3 linked regions of the Neodiprion lecontei genome follow. The protein of the gene in region 3 purifies or fractionates together with the protein of the main gene of each other region. This does not show direct contact. Links are inferred from orthologs where the notes say so. Each region holds a gene or a part of one and is shown on either strand. Other genes may lie near its edges. The genes, in order: uncharacterized protein LOC107221552, cleavage and polyadenylation specificity factor 73 and symplekin.

Evidence for each region.
Region 1: the proteins of symplekin (region 3) and uncharacterized protein LOC107221552 purify together in Homo sapiens (affinity purification with mass spectrometry; 4 studies listed by BioGRID and IntAct, with this or other methods). This does not show direct contact. The link is inferred for Neodiprion lecontei from reciprocal best matches to the Homo sapiens genes SYMPK and WDR33.
Region 2: the proteins of symplekin (region 3) and cleavage and polyadenylation specificity factor 73 fractionate together in Homo sapiens (co-fractionation; 6 studies listed by BioGRID and IntAct, with this or other methods). This does not show direct contact. The link is inferred for Neodiprion lecontei from reciprocal best matches to the Homo sapiens genes SYMPK and CPSF3.

What each region holds. Positions count from the first base shown.
Region 1 is NC_060263.1:39,488,526-39,495,500, forward strand, and holds the start of uncharacterized protein LOC107221552, read right to left. Parts: upstream 3,663-6,975; 5' UTR 3,382-3,662; intron 2,770-3,381; 5' UTR 2,626-2,769; coding exon 2,296-2,625; intron 2,131-2,295; coding exon 1,861-2,130; intron 1,369-1,860; coding exon 1,217-1,368; intron 1-1,216. Other genes in the region: regulator of microtubule dynamics protein 1, read left to right, coding at 5,637-5,683, 5,935-6,126, 6,284-6,475. UniProt on the Homo sapiens protein: Essential for both cleavage and polyadenylation of pre-mRNA 3' ends.
Region 2 is NC_060260.1:5,311,403-5,318,337, reverse strand, and holds cleavage and polyadenylation specificity factor 73, read right to left. Parts: upstream 4,710-6,935; 5' UTR 4,235-4,709; coding exon 2,174-4,234; 3' UTR 2,108-2,173; downstream 1-2,107. Other genes in the region: DNA polymerase theta, read left to right, coding at 27-146, 227-562, 782-1,046, 1,116-1,336, 1,441-1,611. UniProt on the Homo sapiens protein: Component of the cleavage and polyadenylation specificity factor (CPSF) complex that plays a key role in pre-mRNA 3'-end formation, recognizing the AAUAAA signal sequence and interacting with poly(A) polymerase and other factors to bring about cleavage and poly(A) addition.
Region 3 is NC_060261.1:29,146,538-29,153,611, reverse strand, and holds the start of symplekin, read right to left. Parts: upstream 4,524-7,074; 5' UTR 4,148-4,523; coding exon 4,091-4,147; intron 3,712-4,090; coding exon 3,515-3,711; intron 3,205-3,514; coding exon 2,971-3,204; intron 2,805-2,970; coding exon 2,518-2,804; intron 2,319-2,517; coding exon 2,089-2,318; intron 2,006-2,088; coding exon 1,820-2,005; intron 1,670-1,819; coding exon 1,224-1,669; intron 1,108-1,223; coding exon 835-1,107; intron 758-834; coding exon 574-757; intron 454-573; coding exon 212-453; intron 126-211; coding exon 1-125. UniProt on the Homo sapiens protein: Scaffold protein that functions as a component of a multimolecular complex involved in histone mRNA 3'-end processing. Specific component of the tight junction (TJ) plaque, but might not be an exclusively junctional component. May have a house-keeping rule.

The sequences.
Region 1 (6,975 bases), on a different chromosome or scaffold from region 3:
TGGATGATGTGAAGGGAGCTAGGATATTTTTCTTTATTATATATTCGATGGGAATCTCGACTGGGTGCTGCTGTATTTTTTCTTTAGTTTTATTATTATCAATATTACCATCTTCTCTTTATTCTACGATACATCTTTGCCCAATATCCTATCCTGTATACAAACTTTATTCCTGACAGCCATAAGGTCCCAATTGCGCTTCTACTTAAATTTCTTCCCGCAATTACACACCGGCATTGAAATATTACAAGACTTTGAAGTAAATGAACATAATTACAGGGATAGACTGGGAATAAAGAAATACGTTTGCAAGATAAAGGAAGCTCGTTTGCGTAAACCTATTTGAACTCTTGAGTGGAAATTTGACCACAAAATTATAGTGTGTAATTAATGTAAAACATCGGTAACTGTTCAGTATATGCAAAACTTCTGAGCCTGAGATAAAAATGGTTGAATATGGTCCATTGCATGCAAAGATAAGATCCCGATGGCTCTCAGAACAGGTAACTATACTGTAAAATCGAGGATCCATTGAACCTATCTATTCAATACATGCTGCGATTTCACCTGTGTTTCGCGTACTGCCCAATAATCTTTTCAAAGCACTACCTACTAGTATGTAACGCAAAATTAATTATACGAACAGATTCAAAGAATTTTTTTTGTAAATCAATCCCTGACCCTGATAAATGTCTCGTTCCTCACAAAGTCATGATTGATACGATTGTTTATTATTCGTAATACTTGGAAGATTCGAATGACGTTTTGAGTTTCATACTGGCCAGATTTTAATATGCTACTGTCACCTCAGTTCAGCTTCGTAGGTGTAAAAAAAAAAAATTCAAAAACGGTTGTTTGTAATCATAAGATATAGCAATCTCGACGCACATACACAAACCAAAGTACTATATTTGATCTAGTTAACACCCTGATTGCCGATACACTGGATCTAAGGTACAAACAAACGGAGACAGCATTAAAAAAAAAATGCTGAATGCTCAGATCATTGATAAGAACAGACCACACTAAAGAAACAAGAAAAACACTTCACCTATGTACCCAAATGAGAAGGTGTAACTTGATCTCAAACGTTTTACTAAATGGAAAATACATCAAAATGAAACCCACGTCCTGTGTCCTGATTGCTACATAAGTTAATCGGCCGTGAAGGACAGTGTCACGATAGATGTAAGGACTAGAGTGGTAGATGCTATACCTGAGTCCTCTAATAGCCTCTTTGTGCGCCTGAAACATCTTGACGTTGTTCATGTTGCTCTGCCAGTACTTAACGTAGCCTGCGTGGTCGCCCGTCACCATCCAGCTTTCGTTGTGGGACCAAACCATTGTACGTACAGGGCTGTCATGAGCCTAAGAAATGGAAGAATGAATGATTATTTTTTAACTGCCCTGTCGGGACATTTTACAAGGTTATTCCATCACATTAGGTTCATTTTTGACTAATTCGACACTCAAGAGGAGATGCTAATATTAAACCATATTTTGCAAATTTTCAATTAGCCACACCAAGTTAGAGATGTGTTGCTTATCTTTGCTTACTGACAGTTTGTTTATTTGACATTTTAAATTCAATTTTCTGAGAATCGTGATATTTGTTGACATGACAAGGAGAATGAAAAACCAAGCCAAGATTTTTTCATAAACGAAAATGACCTCTGAGAACTATATTTGTAACTCAGATACACATGGACATTGAATTAACGAATCTCATAATCTTTTACAGATAAAAAAAATAGCGATTTACGAGAATAGAGGCTGTAACAGATTCATAGAGCAAGAATATTAGGTCCATGTACTAATAGACTATCAAAAAAGTGGTAAATTTTCTTGATATATCCCCACCTGTAGAATAGTCTCAAAGTTAAAAGTAAGCCCATTCCATAATGTGAATTCGCCACTCGATGCACCAGTGACAAGCCTTCTTCCTTCGGGGGTCCAAGCCATGCAAAATATTGGACACCTCATTTTATTCGTTGCTGTTTTGACAAATTTTGTTGTCACTGCGTTGATTGGATTATCAACGTAGCTTGGTGGTGGCAGAAGGTCAGGATAATATATAACGTCAGGCTGAAGAGCTCTTCTGTCTCTGTAGTCTCGCTGCCAAACCCGATTCTGAGTAACAAAAAGATGGAAATTTAATCTACACCTACACGAAGAAGAAAGATGCTAGAGGTATTAGAAGCTTCAAAGGAGCAGCTGAACATTCTGACGAGATAAAAAAAATATGAAATTACAAACAGGAACCAAAGTAATTTGTTTATACGAGTAATTTATTACCTCCAAGGTTTTAATAATAGCAGCATTATAGTCGACCGTCTTTCGCATCACAGATTTCCTGAGTCTCTTTCCATCGAATTCATCTTGTAACGCATCTTGACCACCAGCTATAACTTTCGGGGCATGATAAGGTCGAAATGGTTTGAAAAAACCACGATTTCCATCTCTGTGAGTACCAAATCTGTGCTGATAACCTCCAGTCGTAGTATTTATAGTTGTTAAATTAGGAGGAGGTGCAGATAAATTCGGCGTTGCAATGGGTGGTGGAACCGACATGTTTGGTAAACTTATCACCGGGGGTGGATTGGCGAATTGAGCATTGACAGACATATTGATGGTTTGGAAAATGAAATAATTTAAATAAGTTTATCTAAAACCAAGGTCTCTTCTTCTTAGACTCAGATCCCGAGACATATTATAGAACAAAGTCACGAAATACATTTAACAGTAGTAACGCCATCCTTGCGATAATATCTGAAATAAAATTAAAAAAGTCATAGTTACAAAAATTGTAGGTTCTGCATCGTTGTGAATATCCGTAATTGATGATAAAAATTCGTAGTTGATAATGGATTGTAGAAGAGTGCTGACAAAGCAATAAAATAAGATGCAAGACATACTTTCACAGGAGCAAAACATTTCCTTTTTCATTTATTTTCAACTTCAAATAACAGAGTGAAATAACGAAATAACATGTGTTCAGTAATTGTAGAAACCCGTGTTGCAAACAGTGCCAGCACAGGTGCCTAACACTTGTATTTATGGTAAGAGAAAACTAGAAAGGAAAAAATACATTGGACAAGTGTTGGATATGTGAAAGAATGAGTAAATTGAAGAGGCGAGCGAAACAAACGTTTCGTCCCACAACGAAAATTTTGATGAAAGTGTATGTGCCAACTTTCGAAGCACTAGGGATATGATGACGCAAAAATTGTAGTGGGGATGTGTGGCATCGAATAACCATGTTTGAAGGTTAGTCGGTAATGGTGAAGTAAACTCGTGGCAGAGACGATTACTGTAGTGAATTTAATCGAAGTTTATGTCGGGTCATTGATATACATAATACGGTAAAATAGTGAGACCAACCTGCTGCAGTATCGTCACGATTATATTTGTCGAGGCCTACTCCCAGGTCACCACTTCGACGTACACAAAACACTTCAACGTTCTAAGGCCACAAATTACCAAACACTTTATTTACAATAATACTGCAAATATAGCGCCAAGCGAACACTCCCTGGACAAGCGTCATCAACTTTTTTGAAATCTCAACGCGTATAATACAGACTACGACCGACAGCTTGAGGGAATATTGTGCACGGACGCTAACGACTCCATGATAGGTATATGAAGACTGACGAAGACACTGCTGGACACTGCCTGCCACTTCCGGTTCGAAAATCCGGCGTTCCGCTCGGATACCTAATAATGTTGATTACTGCGACCTCTGTCATGTCAGAGCTGCGCACTGTAGCCGCAATGTATACGTGTTACGATGATGATTGGAACAATTAATACAGATCCTCATATACTTTCAGCGTCGATATCCAACAGGCGTTCGGACAGTTAGCATTATAATTTTCGTTGGCTAAAAACTAAAGCTATACGATATACAATATATCTTTCGGCAACGTAATTCTTGATTAACGCTCGGATTAACGGAAATGGCCGAGATTCGAGTTTTGTTCCACCGGTCCCGTTGTTCGCAATCGACGGATCGTTGGACGCCCAAAATCCGATTTCCGAATTTCATAAGTAAGTAAAATGTAGTCACGAAAACTATGAGCCGATCAACTGTCCAGAAATCGCTTGCTAATGTGTAAATGAGTTTGAAAGTATAACCAAATTTTTTTTTGTAAATCATATGCATCAGTCATTCGATTCATATGACGCGCCAAGAATGATGCTTTTTTGTTTTTCCAGCGACTTTTACGCCTCTATGGGCCGCCGGCGGAAGTGAAAAACAGTTGCGGCACGCTTCTTTCGCAAAGCAGAAACGTTCAACTGCATGTCGAAAAGGGCTTTTTGTGTTTTACAAAAATTGAGCGTTGGATAGATTGTCCTTGGTTTTAAAATAAGAAAGAAAAATGTCAGTTTGATGTGTGGTGCGAGGGGATTCACAACAGTATATACGCGATTCTTAAGACTCGCTGAAAACGCGACTAGTTGTATGTACCATGTAAAGGTGTAATGTGAAAGAGTCGCGTGCTGCAGTGTGCTGCTGGATAATTTTGATTATTATTTAGAAGAAACATGACAAAATTTTTGGCCTGTCTACAGTTATCTTTATTATACAGTTAATTCACCAGTTCCAAAAGTCGGATGAAAACTAACGAGAATCGTACGTTGACGAGTATAGTTGTTTACTTATTTTATACCCGTTTAATTTATCCATTATTCATGCCCAAACCTGCCTGTATTGCCATTGATTGATACGACTTTGCTGAAGAAATAATTCATACTCCCCTTTCGTGAAATTAGCACATGCATTATCACTAGCATTTTTGCCTATACTCGCGAAATGAAACATGCGTATGTAACGTACGCTATAATTGATCTGACCCAGTTCTACAGCTCAATGTTACTTGCCATGTCACTCTTCATAATTTATACTATACAAGACGACGAACAAACAAATTATTTTTTCCAACCCTGGCAAATTATTTCCCATTTTAACAGGGTTACAAACACCGATGTTGCCTGTTAATTAGGATAGCTTACTACGAAATGATTGAGGTATTTCAGTGCTGAAATTGCAAGGACGTATAAACGTGTGTCGAAACAATGTTTATACCGTTATTTCGCAATTTCTACTTAATGACGAAACACTCATAAGTCAAATACCATACTAATGACATGCCAAAATTTTGTGCACTGCATTAAGTTCATTCAATGTTGCACAGGGAACTTTAAACTGAGGACACTACGTTACAGTATCCATTTGAAACACAGAGTAGGTACAGGTAATGTAGTGTTTGACAGTGTTCGCTCTTTTAGTCTGCTGTCTGACAAATTTGATAAGCAAATATTGGTAAATCTTTCATCACTGTACATTCAAAAAGACCGCTCGTTCACTGAAAACATTAGATTCTTTGCTATGAATGCACATTACTTAGCTACACAAATTATTGTGAAATACAAATAACCAATGAGCTGTATATTGAAAAGGTGGAAATTTCCTCTCAAATCTTACGTATGATTGGTTGAATACATTTCCGCTTTGCATTAATGTACCTGTAAGAACTGTACGTAGTGTGAAGAAAAAACACTTGACACACGTTCGAAGTTCAAAGTCTAAATTTCTTCCAAATCTGTTATGTGAACTGCCGTGAGTTCTCTTTATGTATTCCATGAACCAAGAGTCCGTCAGAATGAGAAAAGCTCCCCAGTAATATTGAAACACAATTTAGAACTATATTTTGTGATAATGTACAGTATAACAATAGACAGAAACACCAACAAATATTTCCCACCCAAAATCACATTGAATACTTCAAAGCACGTGATGCGGTTTAAACATACAGATAGAAAAATTGCAATATCATAATTTTGTACAATTATGCCCTTGTATATATCTGCTTTGATTATTTCATAACTTCTTTAATTAATCATACATTTTATGTTTTATCCACAATTTAGCACCATGAGTGATATAAACTCTCCGCGACTGATTGCGACTGCAGTTGCTGCAGCGTTTGGCGTTATTGGGGCTGTGGGTCTGTTCGTGTACCAGAAAATAAGAGAACAACAACAGACCGAAAGAGTCAGACGAGATTTGGATAAAATGGGTGAAACTATGGCCGAACTACAAGCACAGTTGGATCTTTTGAGGTAGGCTCCTTTTAGTTGTAGATATTTCGATAATCACGTTATATCTAGCCCTCTGAAATACGTATAACTAATTTAACGTAACTAACAATAAAATTAAAAAAGTACAGATTGAAAGGTTATTGTCATTACCACTTGTATTTCATACTTGCCTAATTAGATTACAGCAAAATCAACGCAGGAATCGAGAAAGAATATCGCGACGAAAGCCGAATCTTAAAAATAGCAGCACTTATTCTGCAACAGATAATGACACTGACGTAGACGCCTTTTCAACAGCTGACACAGAGTTTGACGATGATGAATTCTTTGATTTCTCCGACATGGAGTCAGGCGATGGAGACAATGAAAGGTCTGTAAATTTAACAACCAAATAATGGATCGTAATCAAACTAATAACTCATATTCCATTTCAATACATAGAATAATAAATCTTCCTGAAAAGGAAGCAAAGTAGAAAGTACAAACTGGACTCCTTACCACAAAGGCAAGTCTTTCCTTTCACAAACAAATCTTTTGCAGTGATAAATGTTATCCGCTAATATTATCACAGCATTTTCAAATGCCAAAAGATTTCGATGGATACTTATATTGATGCACGCTAGTAAAGTAATTTACTATAAATAAATATGTCAATTTTAGTGCCCACTTTGTGTGTGTTTTTATTTTTTTTTAATTAGTTTCATCTGAAATACATGCCGCCGAATGCATTTTGTAATTGTACTTGATATTTTATGATTACTTCAATTTAATTGAACGTTTGATATTTATATTAATTGATGTGTACCAGAGGTAATGAGATACATTATATATTAAAGAAACGTGAAAATGCTTTCTTCGTGGCAAATTTTC
Region 2 (6,935 bases), on a different chromosome or scaffold from region 3:
TTAATATTTCCCATGACTTGTCACAGGTTCTCGGGATGTACAAGGGAGTTAAAGTCAGCACAAATAAAGCCGTACTAGAAAATTGCGATAATCCAATATCTAAACAAATTATGTCTTGGCGGAAACTTAATACAACGCAGACAAAAGTTAGTCTATTGTTTCAACAAGAAATTGCTCAAATTTCAATGATAATATTTACACAACATTAAGCATGTTTTCTTTTCAGATGGTATTTCCGTTATTAAACCTGGTGCAACAAGGTCCACGAGTTCGAGGGTGTTGTCTAACACGTACAGCCACTGGCCGTATATCAATGCACGAACCAAATTTACAGAATGTTCCAAGAGATTTTAATTCTGAAAATAATAGTTATGTAATTAGTATGCGAATGGCATTTGTTCCCACCTGTGGAAATATCATGTTATCAGCAGATTATTGTCAACTTGAGCTAAGAATATTGGCACATCTTTCAAAAGATCCCGTCTTGTGTGAAATAATGAAAAAGGATTCTGACATTTTCAAGAACATTGCTGCGCAGTGGAACTATATAACCATAAATGAGGTACGAATTCTTTGACGCAGTCCCCTATGCCAATAATTGATAGATCTTCTCTATATTATTCAATCGGCAAACAAATTTCTGTTTTGAAATGACTTTTGATTTGTAGCCGTCTGAGGTAAGAAAGAACATCCTGATTTCAACAATAACTACATGAAGCACGGGTTTTGTAATATCACATTTGATTTTTTATAGTAATCAATGTATGCTTTGTTTGTTCAGGTAAATGATGATATGCGTCAACGCACAAAACAGCTTTGTTATGGAATAATTTATGGCATGGGTTCGAGGGCTTTGGCAAAGCAATTATCAGTTACTGAATTAGAAGCAAGCAGGTTCATGGAAAGTTTTATGGGAACTTATCCAAACGTGAATAATTGGCTTAATCAGGTGATAACCGAAAGCCGAGAAAATGGATATGTAACGACTCTAATGGAAAGGCGCAGATTACTTCCGAGTCTAAATAGTGAGATAAAAAGTGAAAGATGTGAGTAGCGACAAATTTTCTCTGCTGCGAGTTTTTTTCCAATTTACTGCGAACGTTTATTTACTATAGCTCAAGCAGAGAGACAAGCAGTGAATACAAAAATTCAAGGTTCAGCAGCGGACTTGGCTAAAAAAGCTATGGTTCTAATAGATGAAAGACTGCAGAAAGAGTATTCAGATACATCTAGAGTCATTTCAGAAATGAAAACTAGAAAACTAAGGAGCAGCAAAGATTCGCAGAATAGAGGGGCCTACTTAGTTCTGCAACTACACGACGAACTCCTATACGAGGTCAGTTATACTAGTCATTTTTTCCGTTACAATTCTCTGCATGAGGATGAATTGTTGCACAAGAATAAAATCAAAATGGGTAAATAATCATGATACTCTTACAGGTGAATGCCGCAGATCTTGATCGTGTTGCAGCAATAGTTAAAATTTCAATGGAAGAAGCATATCAGCTAACAATTCCATTGCCTGTTAAAATCAGAGTTGGTCCGACGTGGGGCAGTCTAACAGAATACACTGTTCAGAAGCCCATAGAATCATCTGAATGTATTTTTTAATTGTTGAAAGACGTTATTTATTTTAATTTATATATTTTTCGCTTTTGCGAATTTTTATATGTTAAGAATTTAATTACGAATATTTTATAAATGATCACAACTTTTATAAGATCCACTAATTGTAAATATTATTTATGTCAAGTTCTCAAACTTCTGAAATAGGTTATTTAAGTGTAATAGATCTCATAAATTGTGTAGAATTAAAACATTGAATAATAGTGGTAAGTTTACATGCAAAATTCGTGTCATTGCGATATAGATGGATCAATTTTTGTACACAGAAAAAATCATGATAAAAATTGAATTGTTCATTTTTATACAACTATTGTTAATAACAATTATATTTAATGCAGCATTTACTAATCTTCATATTGCTGCTATCACCGAATCAACTTGTATTGCTGAATTTGTAGAAAAATATACACAATTAAAATTATTAGCTATGTATCATAATTTAAATCTATTGGTTTAGGAAAAGAGAAGTACAAATTGCATGTTGAAAATATCGATCCGATATGGAATATTTAATGAATTAGATTTACAAGGTTGTAAATGTAAAAATTTATAAAGTATCGCATGGCGGAGCCAATGACTGATGTAACTTGGAAACGGCAGTCTGGACTATTTGTTGAAAGGTTTCATCCTCCGTGCTTGTTACTTCTAAATTTAACAAATCTATGTGAGCCTTTTTACCATCAACTGTAACATATAGTTTTTCGCCTTTGAAAATTTTGGGTACCGAATCTTCACCAAACATTTCTTGAAGCATTTCTATCAGACATTCCTTGAAATGCATTCGGTCCATTTTCGTTGGTGCAGGGAGTGTTTTCGGCGGTTGTTCCATCATTTCAGCTTGCAATATTGCAGTCAAAACTGAATCTGCATACATGTCGTTTACAGGAGTCGCTATCCATTCCATTGTGACAACTTTTCCTTCTACAATAACATCAACATTTTTGAATACTCTCATCTTTTTATCATCGATATTTTCTATGCTTCCAGCAATTTGCGTTAGCAAATGTTTCAATACCGGTAACGATGTAGAAAAATGTACGCTTTGTCTTTGAACCACCTGGCTCATGCTCATATCGGTATACTTCGATAAATCGCAAGGCGCCAGTACGTGGTAATTGAAGTTTCTTTTCACCAGAACACCTGATAACTTCTGTCCAGGTTTTGGAGTTTCCATAGCTAAAGTTCCCATAACTTTTGCTGTTTTTTCACCACGAAAATACAGCTCTACTGCCACTGTATTCCTAGGATTGTGTATCTCCATTATGGTGTGTGGATCGTCCTCGTATTCCCTTTGTAGAGCAGCTTTTAATCTGCCCATTTCATTTTGTTCCCCATGAACCAATACAACATGTGGTGGTTTCAAAATCCTAATAAACTCTGACGTCTGTTGATAGTCGGTATGGGCTGAGAATGATATATAATCCACTGACATTTTCAAAGGCAATTTTTGACCAGACATGGTTGTAATTTCTTCGGGTTCGGAGAGGATTGTTTTGGCCAGAGTCCCCTCTACGCAGTAACCGGCGATTATTACTCCATTCTTCGAATCAGTGCACCAAGACTCAAATAATTCTCTGGACAAGCCACTCTGCATCATACCAGGAGATGCCATAACGACACAAGGTCCTATGTCTTCGAAATGATCGATCCCTTTCAAGTTTGATATGTGCTTGAATACAAAAGGGTTGTTAATTGCTATCTGTCTCCGTATTTTATCGTTCATCGCGTTAACGTAAGTTTGATAAACTGCCATACATTTTTTGGCCAAAGACGAAGCATAATAAATGGGAATTTCATGCAACTCGGGGTGTTGGCTCCAGTATTCATCCAGGATTAGCAGTAGCTCTTGTGCTCGTCCCAGGGCAAATACAGGAATCAAGCATCTTCCGCCTCTGTTCACAATTTCGTGTACCAAATTAGTAAATCTTCCTTCTCGATCTTCCCGCTTCTCATGAATGTGAGTTCCGTAGGTGGATTCAGTTATCAAAACGTCAGGATGAATGTTTGGTATTTCGGCAGCCATCAAATGCCTGTCTTCTTGCCGACTAAAATCACCTGTGTACAGTATTTTAACACCAGCAATTTCGATCATGAACATAGCAGCGCCAAGAACGTGGCCAGCATTATATGCCCAAAATTTAATACCGAAGACATCTTTTTCCTCGTGGAAATTTATCGTCTCTATTTTATCCATACTAGTTTCTAGGTCAGACTCGGTATACAACATCTGCTCCGTGGCAATGTTACTGACTTTTATGTAATCGGACAACAACCAGCGATATATAGCTTTTGTCGCGTGAGTCATGAAACAACGTCCCTTAAAACTAGTTTTTTGCAAAAACCAAGGTAAGGCTCCACAGTGATCGAGGTGAAAATGAGATATCAGAAGCAGGTCGATTTCATCGGCTTCTACCAAGTCAACGAATGGAAGAGCATCCATGCCGGAGAGACCTGGATGTATTCCACAGTCCAGCATTATCTTTTTTCCTTTGAATTCCAGCATAATGCAAGATCTTCCAACTTCTTGTCCGGCACCAAGCGGCCGAATCGAAAGTAAATCGCTTTCTTCTGCCGGCACTTGGGTGTCCGGCTTCCGTTTAGATGACATTTTTTAGGTTGTGTTATCCCGAGACACGTACGAATATACACTTGTTAATCAATAACAGACTTCACGTGTAGAAACAACTCTCAACCTAGTATAACTCCTTCGATATCATTATTCATTGAAATATCGTGCTATATCGATTTGTATCGTTGAAGTTTAAAGGTATGGACATGTCCAAGTCCAACTAGCAGTCCGGTGTATCGCGAAATTAAAACAGTTTGCAAACTAGGTACCGGCAACGCAAGAAATCTGCGTAATTCACGTTTTGCACGAAACAATTGAATGAATGCGTTCAAATTGGTTCATCGCAGTGACACACGCGTAGGCATACACAAGGCACAATAACATAAACACAAAGCTTCATTCATAGACTTATATACCTATAAGGTAGACTGAACACCCCGGCCATTTCCCTCGACCCCTGGAACGCCTAACGTTGTTGATGCTGTCTCTTTCTTTCTTATGGGGTTTTCTGAGCCAAGCGCTTAGAGGGGAAGAGAAAGGCAAGTGAGGGGCAGTTGCAGGTATGCCATCCTACATATCCCCACCCCGAGATCGCTAGAAAGAGATGGCAGTATCAACTGCGGATGTAAGACAAGGATAGCACCAAAAACGGGGGAATCGAGGTTCAGGGGACACTCGCTCCGACCTAATGCTCAGTCTGTTTTATATATAAGTCTATGGTTTCATTAATTAAGCTATTTCCATTTTGATTACTATCGACAATGAAGTAGAGTATCGGGTGACGATATATCTCTATGGATGATATATATACTTATATATACATGTCTGTACTTGGTTGCGTATCAGCAGGCGCACAATTTTTCACAGCCATTCGAAATTTGATTTCTTCTAAATGGACGATATAAACGCGGTGTTAAGGCAACGCAAAATCATCGCAACAATATTTGTGCATGCATGGTCTGTCATTTAGAGTCGTAAGCCAGAAAATTGTAAATAATAAATTGTGTGCTAGACTTACTTTGGCTGACCCATAGAGTACATCCATTCGGTTACCGCCTGTGCGATGCTAAAAGTTCACTTCCATATACTCCGATCGCTTGAACCACAAACACTTACATTATCGTCGATCTCCGTACATAATTATTAAAATGATGACCGAAAATCAGTTTACTTCCCGTAGCCGAAAGATAATTCGAATAACTGACAATAGCAATTTTATAAACGTCTAAAAACTGACGCATGAAAAATAACAGTAAAATTTCTCACCTTAACAATAAGTGGAAATCTTTCATATGAGTTTCACTTAGGCGAATCAGCCGGATACAAAAGCAACAAAACATTGGAATAAGTAACTCGTGATATTCATGAATGCGTCCGGGTAAACATAGGTTCGTATCATTTCAAATCGAACTTTGATCGCTGATCGCAGTTAGATGATTACGGATATACTACGTAATTAATAAGTTAATGTTACAGTTAACATAAAATCCGATACATAAATATCGAAGTATAATAATAGAAAAGGTACAAAGATGTCGACGGAGACTTTACAGAGCAAATAACGTGTCGTTTTTTTTTCCAAGAAGCTGCATAAAACAAACTGCGATCGGCAAATGTTTAGCACTTGAAAAATTATATTTCGTCGTACTGATTCATTACTGGTCAACTACGCACCTTTACATCACACTTTTATTTATTGAGAAATAATTTACTTTCGCTTAACACGAGCAAGTTGTTAGATAAATAGAACATTTACAAATGAATTATGGCACTGAGCACAGTATAATTATATACAAAACAATCGCGCCGAATATATACGATAACTGCATCGCGATGCGAACCGACGCGAACTACAGAGCGGATGTTCTGACGCGCCCGACTTCTCGACGCACATTCCCTTCTGTCTTCTGTCGGTAATCGAGGGGCCAGCAATTGTTCCACAATTTTCACAAGATGGCCGCCTGTGATCTGAGCGCTATAGTGGCGAGGCTGGAAAATATGTTCAAATTTGAATCTGACAGTGCATTTAAATGCAAAAATATCTGTTCCGAGATGAAACAGATATAAGAATAACATGTATTATACTTAATTAAATCGTTTATAAAATGTAAAATATATATACTTGTACTATTTTTACCGTCATTCGGGATAATTTGCAGAATGTTTCAATTTAGTAAATAGTTTGATGTTCATCCTTGATATTTTCAGGATATGAAAACATGGTGATCAAACACTATATATGAATAGATCAACGTTAGAAGAAACTTATTTACAAAGAAACGTACCTCAATACATAACTTTTATTAAGGTGTACACATGTTGATTTATTAATTGTTTAATGATAATAATTATCCTATCTGTATCTTCGTATAGCATGAATCAAGTTTCATACAATATTCAATTGCCGGGTGATTGATTGGCCCTATTATAAAATATAATTGATGTACATATTTACATTATATACAGTACTGCGTCTAATCTAACGCGCATGCTGCTTAGCTACACAATTGCACATTTGGATGACTACGATGTTGGCTCTAGGTGGGTTGTGTAAAAACTCTGGCCATGGTGCCATGATGTATAAGTTACACAATAAAGATCAAATATACATACACGCTTGTCTTATTTATTGTTAAAATACGGGGATTGCAGATATACAGACCCCTTCAAAAATAAGCTTGATTAAAATCCAGGACATCATTTACAAACCAAGGTATAACCGAGATGCAACCAATTATAT
Region 3 (7,074 bases):
GACAGTTTTCGACAAGGGACAATAGCTGTGGACTACTCATTCCCAAGAGTCTCACCGGTCCTTCAACCAAGCGTAAGATGATACGTTTGACATCAGCTCCCATTGAGGTATAAACCCTGGCGAGTCTTTGGGCAAAAGTTAGAGAATAGTTAGTTTAGGCAAGCAGGACATTTTTATCGAGATCCAAGTCATGAAGACACGTAATACGTACTCGTAAATAAGATCTTGGTGTTCCGACAGTAATGCTAGGTACAATCCTAGACAAGCTCGGGTTGTTGATTCACTCCACTGATCGTCGATCTGCGGCCTTCCTCTATCCTGTCCGAATACAATTTCAGGTGGGTTTGGTAATCGTAGAAAACCTAAATACAGCACTGCATATTCTTCTATCAACTTGGCCAGCTCTGGCCGGCTATATAATTGAACAACAAACTCTATCGCTGCTTCACGAATCTGGAAATATCATGGCACCAGGTAATGGAGATTTTCCAAACAAGCCTGTTGTTAATTATTGCATCAACATTATTTTGACCAATTCTTCTTTCACAAATTGCTAAGAAATAATTGACTCACAGTATTATTTTCATGTCCTGTATGACACAGTAATACATTCAAAAATACTAGCTGCTTTGTCGGTCTCCGAATAACCATTTCCTTGAGTAATTCCAAAGGTGCGAGTCCTCTCGTTTCATCGGACGAGACCAGTTTTAAAGCTTCCACGGCATCTTCTGTGATTAGAGGAGCTTCCAGATACAACCTAAGGCAAATACAATGAAGAACATTGGTCATAATACTCAATGAAAAAAGTTAATTGCATTGTTCTGCATTAATTACCGCGACAACAACACATCGCGATCTTTCCCTGGTACCAAGTCGATTGCAGAAACTAAAGTGCAGAGTAAAAAGTTGTAGGCTTGATGAGGAGCTTCCTGCGGTTTACTCGTCAGTGTTGTACGCCTTTGGAATCCCTGAAGCAAAGCGTACTCCTCATAGAGCCAGCCGAGGGCCAAATCAAGCCGACACCTCATGTCCTCAGTTATATAGCGGAGCACAGCTTCCCTTATGTATGGGTTGAACGTAGCAGCTAGGGTCGTCAATATCTTGGACCTAACACGCGAAAATACATGAACAATAACTTTAATTGGTTCGCTAATTTTTTCAATACGCATTTTCAAACACTTTTCCCAAAAACCGACTACAATTTCTTATAATTCATTACTCACCTGACTGGTGCCACTCCACCGAGTACAGCGATCCTCTCAGCTCCGAGAATTCTGCCTACAGCCATAAGGAGCATTTTCTCTTTAGTCTCTCTTTGAAGAGGTTTTGTAATTTCGGATAGCTTCAGCGTTTTCAAACGATTTTTCGCCATTTTAAGCGACTTTTCGTGTGCCTCCAATGAAGCCTTAGCTTCTTTCTCTTTCTCCCTGTCCTTTTCTCGTTTTCTTTCACGTTTTGCCTCGGCTACAGTGATTGTTGGATTTTTTATTAGGTCCTCCATTACCGCATCTTCCTCTTTCGTTTCTCTCTTAACCCTTTTGGCCTTAGCTTGCTTTATCTGTACGGCTAGTAGCCTGGCGATAGTTTGACGTTGCACGTTTATATCAGTTGTGGATGTCGGCTGATATTCTCGTTGGAACACTGACGTCATTACATCTGGCACCCAAGCCTGCAAATTGCATAGAATTATTATTTTGCATAAAATAGATTAGTTGTACGAGTTCATACAATGAATCCTATCGAAATTTCTTTAAAATAATTTTCATTTGCAATTTCATTTTTAGACCGCACGAAATTTATTCAACTTATTCTAACATACCATACTATCCATAACTAGTTCTGTGGCAATTTCCACACTTAGACGGTCACTGATAAAATTTTCGGAAAGCTCAATCAATTCAGGAGGCTTCACGGATTCAATTTCCATCGGTTGCTGCTCAGGCTCTTCAACTGCAATTGCAGCCTCCAATTTCGCACGTTTGGCTGCAGATGCTGCCGCTGTTTCCTGCAGATTTGAGAAATATCATTTGATTCTTTGTAAACAGAATATTTTTAAGTAAGATGAGGCTCAGTTCCAATTGCAATTACCTGTTGCCGTTTTTTCATCTTACGAATATCCTCGACTTTTGGATAGGCCTTCATGATTTCTTGCTCTCTTGCCCCGAGCTGGTTCAATTGTCTTGCCATCGTTCCTGCGAACTCTATGCTTGCAGGGTGTTTTAGCAATCCCAATAGCGTGAGCTTAAGTTGCTTCTGGACACTCGTTACTTGTGAATCGGACAGCGTTGGTGGTAGATCATGTTGTAGGAGTTGTAAGGCTGGGTACCAAAAATTATTCATCTATTAAGTATTGTTCTTAACCATTTTTGAGCATCAGAGTTGTTTCAAAGTTTCAATATAGAAATGCCTAAGGTGTGAATAACTTTGCTAAAAATTCTCGAATTTTCAAGCTCTGCTATCACTACAATACTGCAGCCAAACTGAGAGCAGGAAACTACATACTGAAAAAATACCTACCCTGAATTACTTGACGCATAAACTGAGGCCTAGTTTTAGCAATCAATGCCAAGGACCCCATACAAGTCATCAAATTGACGCTACTAACGTGTGGAGAACCATGAAATTTAATCAACAAATCCATAACATGGTTTGCCTCCTCCTCAAGTTTTCTTCTCCGAGCTATTTTTAGTGTTAATGGAATATCTTCTAAGGAGAAGTCATCCGGCTTTTTTGGAGCGTCAGGATCTGGATATGTTTGCAGCAAAACGACTCCTTCCAGGAACTTTACTGCCTGCGTCCTGATTCTGTAACCAAAATAGTCAGGGTAAAATGATGAAAGAAAAAACAGAATACCTAAAAGACATGTGCAGCCTCATGTTTTACAATTTTTATCAGCATATATTCTTTGGCAGCATCTAATGAACATAAGATATGGAAAATAAAATAAGAAAAATTTTTGTTTCTGTTTACCCATCATTGTCACTGTCGATCATATTTATTATCGCAACCTTCAGATTGCTCAGCTGTGTCCAAGCGAGTTCCATGTCTGTTGTAATAATCGCAACACTTGATATCCATTTCAATGTTGCCCTAAGAATTCTTCCCGCTGCTCTAAGCGCCCGTTTGATCACAGCTGATGCATCATCTCCAACTAATCTTGCAAGTGTTTGGACTAATCGAGGAATCAGGTCAGGTTGTTTACACCTACGATGGTCAAAGCACGGTTAAAAAATATTTTTGTAAATTTAATTCTTATATGTTTCAGCCAGTTTAAGGTAACAGCAGCAGAAATTGAAGCTTTAATTGTAAATTCTAGGCTTCCTCATGTAAAGATAACAATCAATGCATAATTAATAAGCAAAGGATAATTGTAATGAACAATCTATTATAAAGTCTGGTATTAGTACTCATTCTTTTCATTGAGACAATCACTGAGTATTCCAATAGAGTTTAAAAACTCGAATAGACTAAAATCCTGACTTATGAATGATAATAAAAGGTGAGTTGCAAATACCCAGCTTCTTCCAAAAATCCTGCGATAAGTTTTCGAACTTCGCTACTCCTATCTAAAGAGAATTGCAACGTTTCGTCCAAGTATAGATCCAGCAACTTTGGTTCCTTGTGTATCAAAAACTCATTAACTTTGGCCAAATTGGTTAATTTTACGGATTCGCTTGTGCTCATAGAAGCATCATTAAGCCATTCTACGACCTGCAAGATTGTAGTAATTACAAATTAGTACATGTATTCCATTTTTTTTTTTTTTCGACTTTCTTTTACATGCTTTTTTCGCATTGTCATTACAGGAACCTTTTGAATAAATTTTAGAATCATTCATGTATAGACTATTTAAGCTGCGCTCGGTATTTATATCCGATTCCGCGATTACCTCGAAACGCGTTGCAAGAGTAGCGTCGCGTTTAGAGGTAATGGAAGAATCAGATGTAAGTAACTAAATGCATTATTAGTGGAACTGATAAATAAGCGAGTGATAATACTTCGAAGTACTAAAATATTTGTGTTCTTTTCTAGGTTCTTTTTTTTTGTTTGTTTACTTGTATCGTGTCAAAATTTAGGTTATGTCACTGACCAAGTCGCTCGAGCCCTTTTTTTCAGACTCTTGTCTTCTGTGTAAGCGTGGGTCCATTGTATTTGCGAATTGACAAGTTTATGGGACGCGATGACTTGCTGATTGAATGCGAAAAATTGGCGACGATAATAAAATGTAATATATGCGGGTGTATCCTACATATGTTTGATTATGTTTCGTTTATGTACAATTCGCTGAGTCTCCGATACGTCAAAAACTTGTAATAGTTGGGTACATGATTTTTGAATCCTAGAATAAATATGATTTTGTACGTTAATGAGTAAGAATAAATATTCCCATTTGATTCGGTAATTTTGTCTGCAAAGTGATCTTAATGCAAATATAATGTAACGCGATTTTTTAATATGCTATTTAGCAATTTATGGTGCTATTGAGTTCCGTCTAACAGTCCGTCTACGCCATATTGGCCAATTACAATATTGGCAATCTTTTCACGCCATGAACAATGAAACGTGATTGAAGATATACAAGTCCTACCTTGGAATCGCAACTCAATCCGGCAAGCGGTCGGTACATAAGGACGACAGGAACTGATGTTACCATCGTGCACCGCGTGTGCCCAGATAATGCAGAGTCGAATATTATTATGCCTTTGAAACGACGAACGGGAACAGACTGTAATTTTCATAAAACCTCATATGGACGTCGTTTACTTTTCAACTACGCAAATTCATTTGGACCCAATTCAGCAATGTCAATCTAACTCCATCGGTTCGATAAAAATAATGTTATCTAAATAGACGCACAATAAACATGCACCCGGTTTACTGTTAACAGAGTTAGAAACCTTTTCTTGATGCAAAGGATGGGAGACATAGTCGAAGACCCGAAGAAGTGAATCAACGGATCAAGATATACAGTTGTTCCTACATCTACCTTATGTAATTTGTGTACATATGTTTAATACTAGACTTGTAGCGTTAACTGAGGATAATAATATCTATCTTCAGGCACCGCTCATATCTTCATTCCGAAAGAATGATGCAGCTGACATGTAAAAATAATTCCTTAACTGACGTTACATTTCGTGGTTTTTAAAAAATACAGTTTATTTGCAGCGGAAATCCTAGACCTTTCTATGCAAAAGTACTACTTGAAAATATTTTTCAGAATTTAAGTAAGACTAGATTGTTACTAATGTATGAGTCCATGCTTTAACAACCCCGATGAAAGTCAGAAAATCATTATCACAAAAGTATTAAATAAAATATATAAAGATGATCAAGGTTCCTTTCTTCAACTTCTACTCATATTAGCTGGTTGTATTGTCATTCCGTCCGCTGACCCACAAACTAGATTGTTCAGAAATTTATTATCAAGTGGCCCAGATTATAATTACGTATATCTGTCCACTTTATTATATATTTATGGCAGTGCCCGTGTTGATTATTAGGATTTTCGAGTTTGAGAATATTTATTTCCGAAAAAGTCGATACTATTTCATCCGGAATTTCGACACTTTTCCGTAGTGTCGACTGCGAAAGGTCAAGCAAGGGAGAAAGATGTTGAAATTTCCAAACTCTTAATTGTCAAAGGTATGTGCACCTTGTTGACTTGTATTAAGAAATTAAATTCATCAAAAAGTAAAATGTATTCACATGGAATTTACTCTGAGTAAACTAGAGAAATCCTAAAGTATTACGATTCCACATGAGTTACACACTATCGAAGCATGAGTTTTATTGACAATGAGTTAAATTTACGTTAGAATAAAATTGTCATTTGAAAAGCTACAATTTATTAGTATTTGACCTTTGAAAATAAGTTCACTTATGCTCGTTTCCTCACCACCGCAAGCGGTAAAGCACCCGGAGCGTTTTTTTTACGTAGTTTCCTCAGTAGGCCTACTCCACGGAGAATAGTAGCACAACAACCAAAATACTAGAGCTGTATAACTCTACAGTGAAATACAAACCAAACATGACCTATGAGCGAGTTGAGAAAAAAAACTGTCACTAAAATGATCGCAATAAAAGACTGTAAAACCATTAAATAAAATACGGCTGAATAAATTTTACTATACGTTGTGATCATTATGATTCTGAACTACATCGTTGAAAATCTATGTATCGGTGAAACCAAGATGACTGACTCTGAACCAGACCTAAGCCAGACGTAAGCCTAAAAAGTGTAATGTTGAAACTCAGTTACCTGGAACAGATGCAAATATAATTACTAACATATATCGATATGGTCAAAATTATACTTAGCTTAGATAAGTAAAAAATATAATTAACGTTAAAATATACAATTTAATTAGTTGAAACAGACTGCAGATTTGATTAGCTGAAACAGGCAAGAGGTTAGATTAGCTGAAACAGACAAAAAGTTTGATTAGCTGAAAGAGACAGAAGGTTGATCAGCTGAAACAGACAAAAGGTTTGATTAGCTGGAACACACAAAAAGTTTGGTTAGCTGATACAGACAGAGGTTTTAATAACAGAAACAGACAAAGGTGTAGTTAGCATGATCACATAAGTGCATACATTGTCAGAAAATGGGTCGAGTCCAACATGATATTCATTTTAATATTCGTTGCTTCGATTATTAATTGTATTTATAATAAAAAACATTCTAAATTTTTTGAACCTACATCTATTTCTGCTTTGAGTTATTAAAGTGAACATCATTTTCGACCAAAGATTCTGTACTTCTCAGTGCATTTGTTGAAAAATTGGCGGATTCCAAATGCCGTGTTTTCTCTTATAACTGAAGGGTATCAAGTCCACGCGCAAAAGGCGCCATAGAACGTGAAAACTTTGATATTCGTTAGAAAATTGAACGAAGAGCTGAAAAGTCAGCACATCGAAAGTGCGTAACTCTTTTGTATATTGTTTGCAGAATCGACGCACAAAAAAAGTGTCTGATTCCCGTTATTAATTTACGCGCTCAAAGCTGCGTCCAATTCTCGTGATTAACCTACGCGCAAAAAGGCGCGACAGATTAAACTGTCAAAAAGTTTG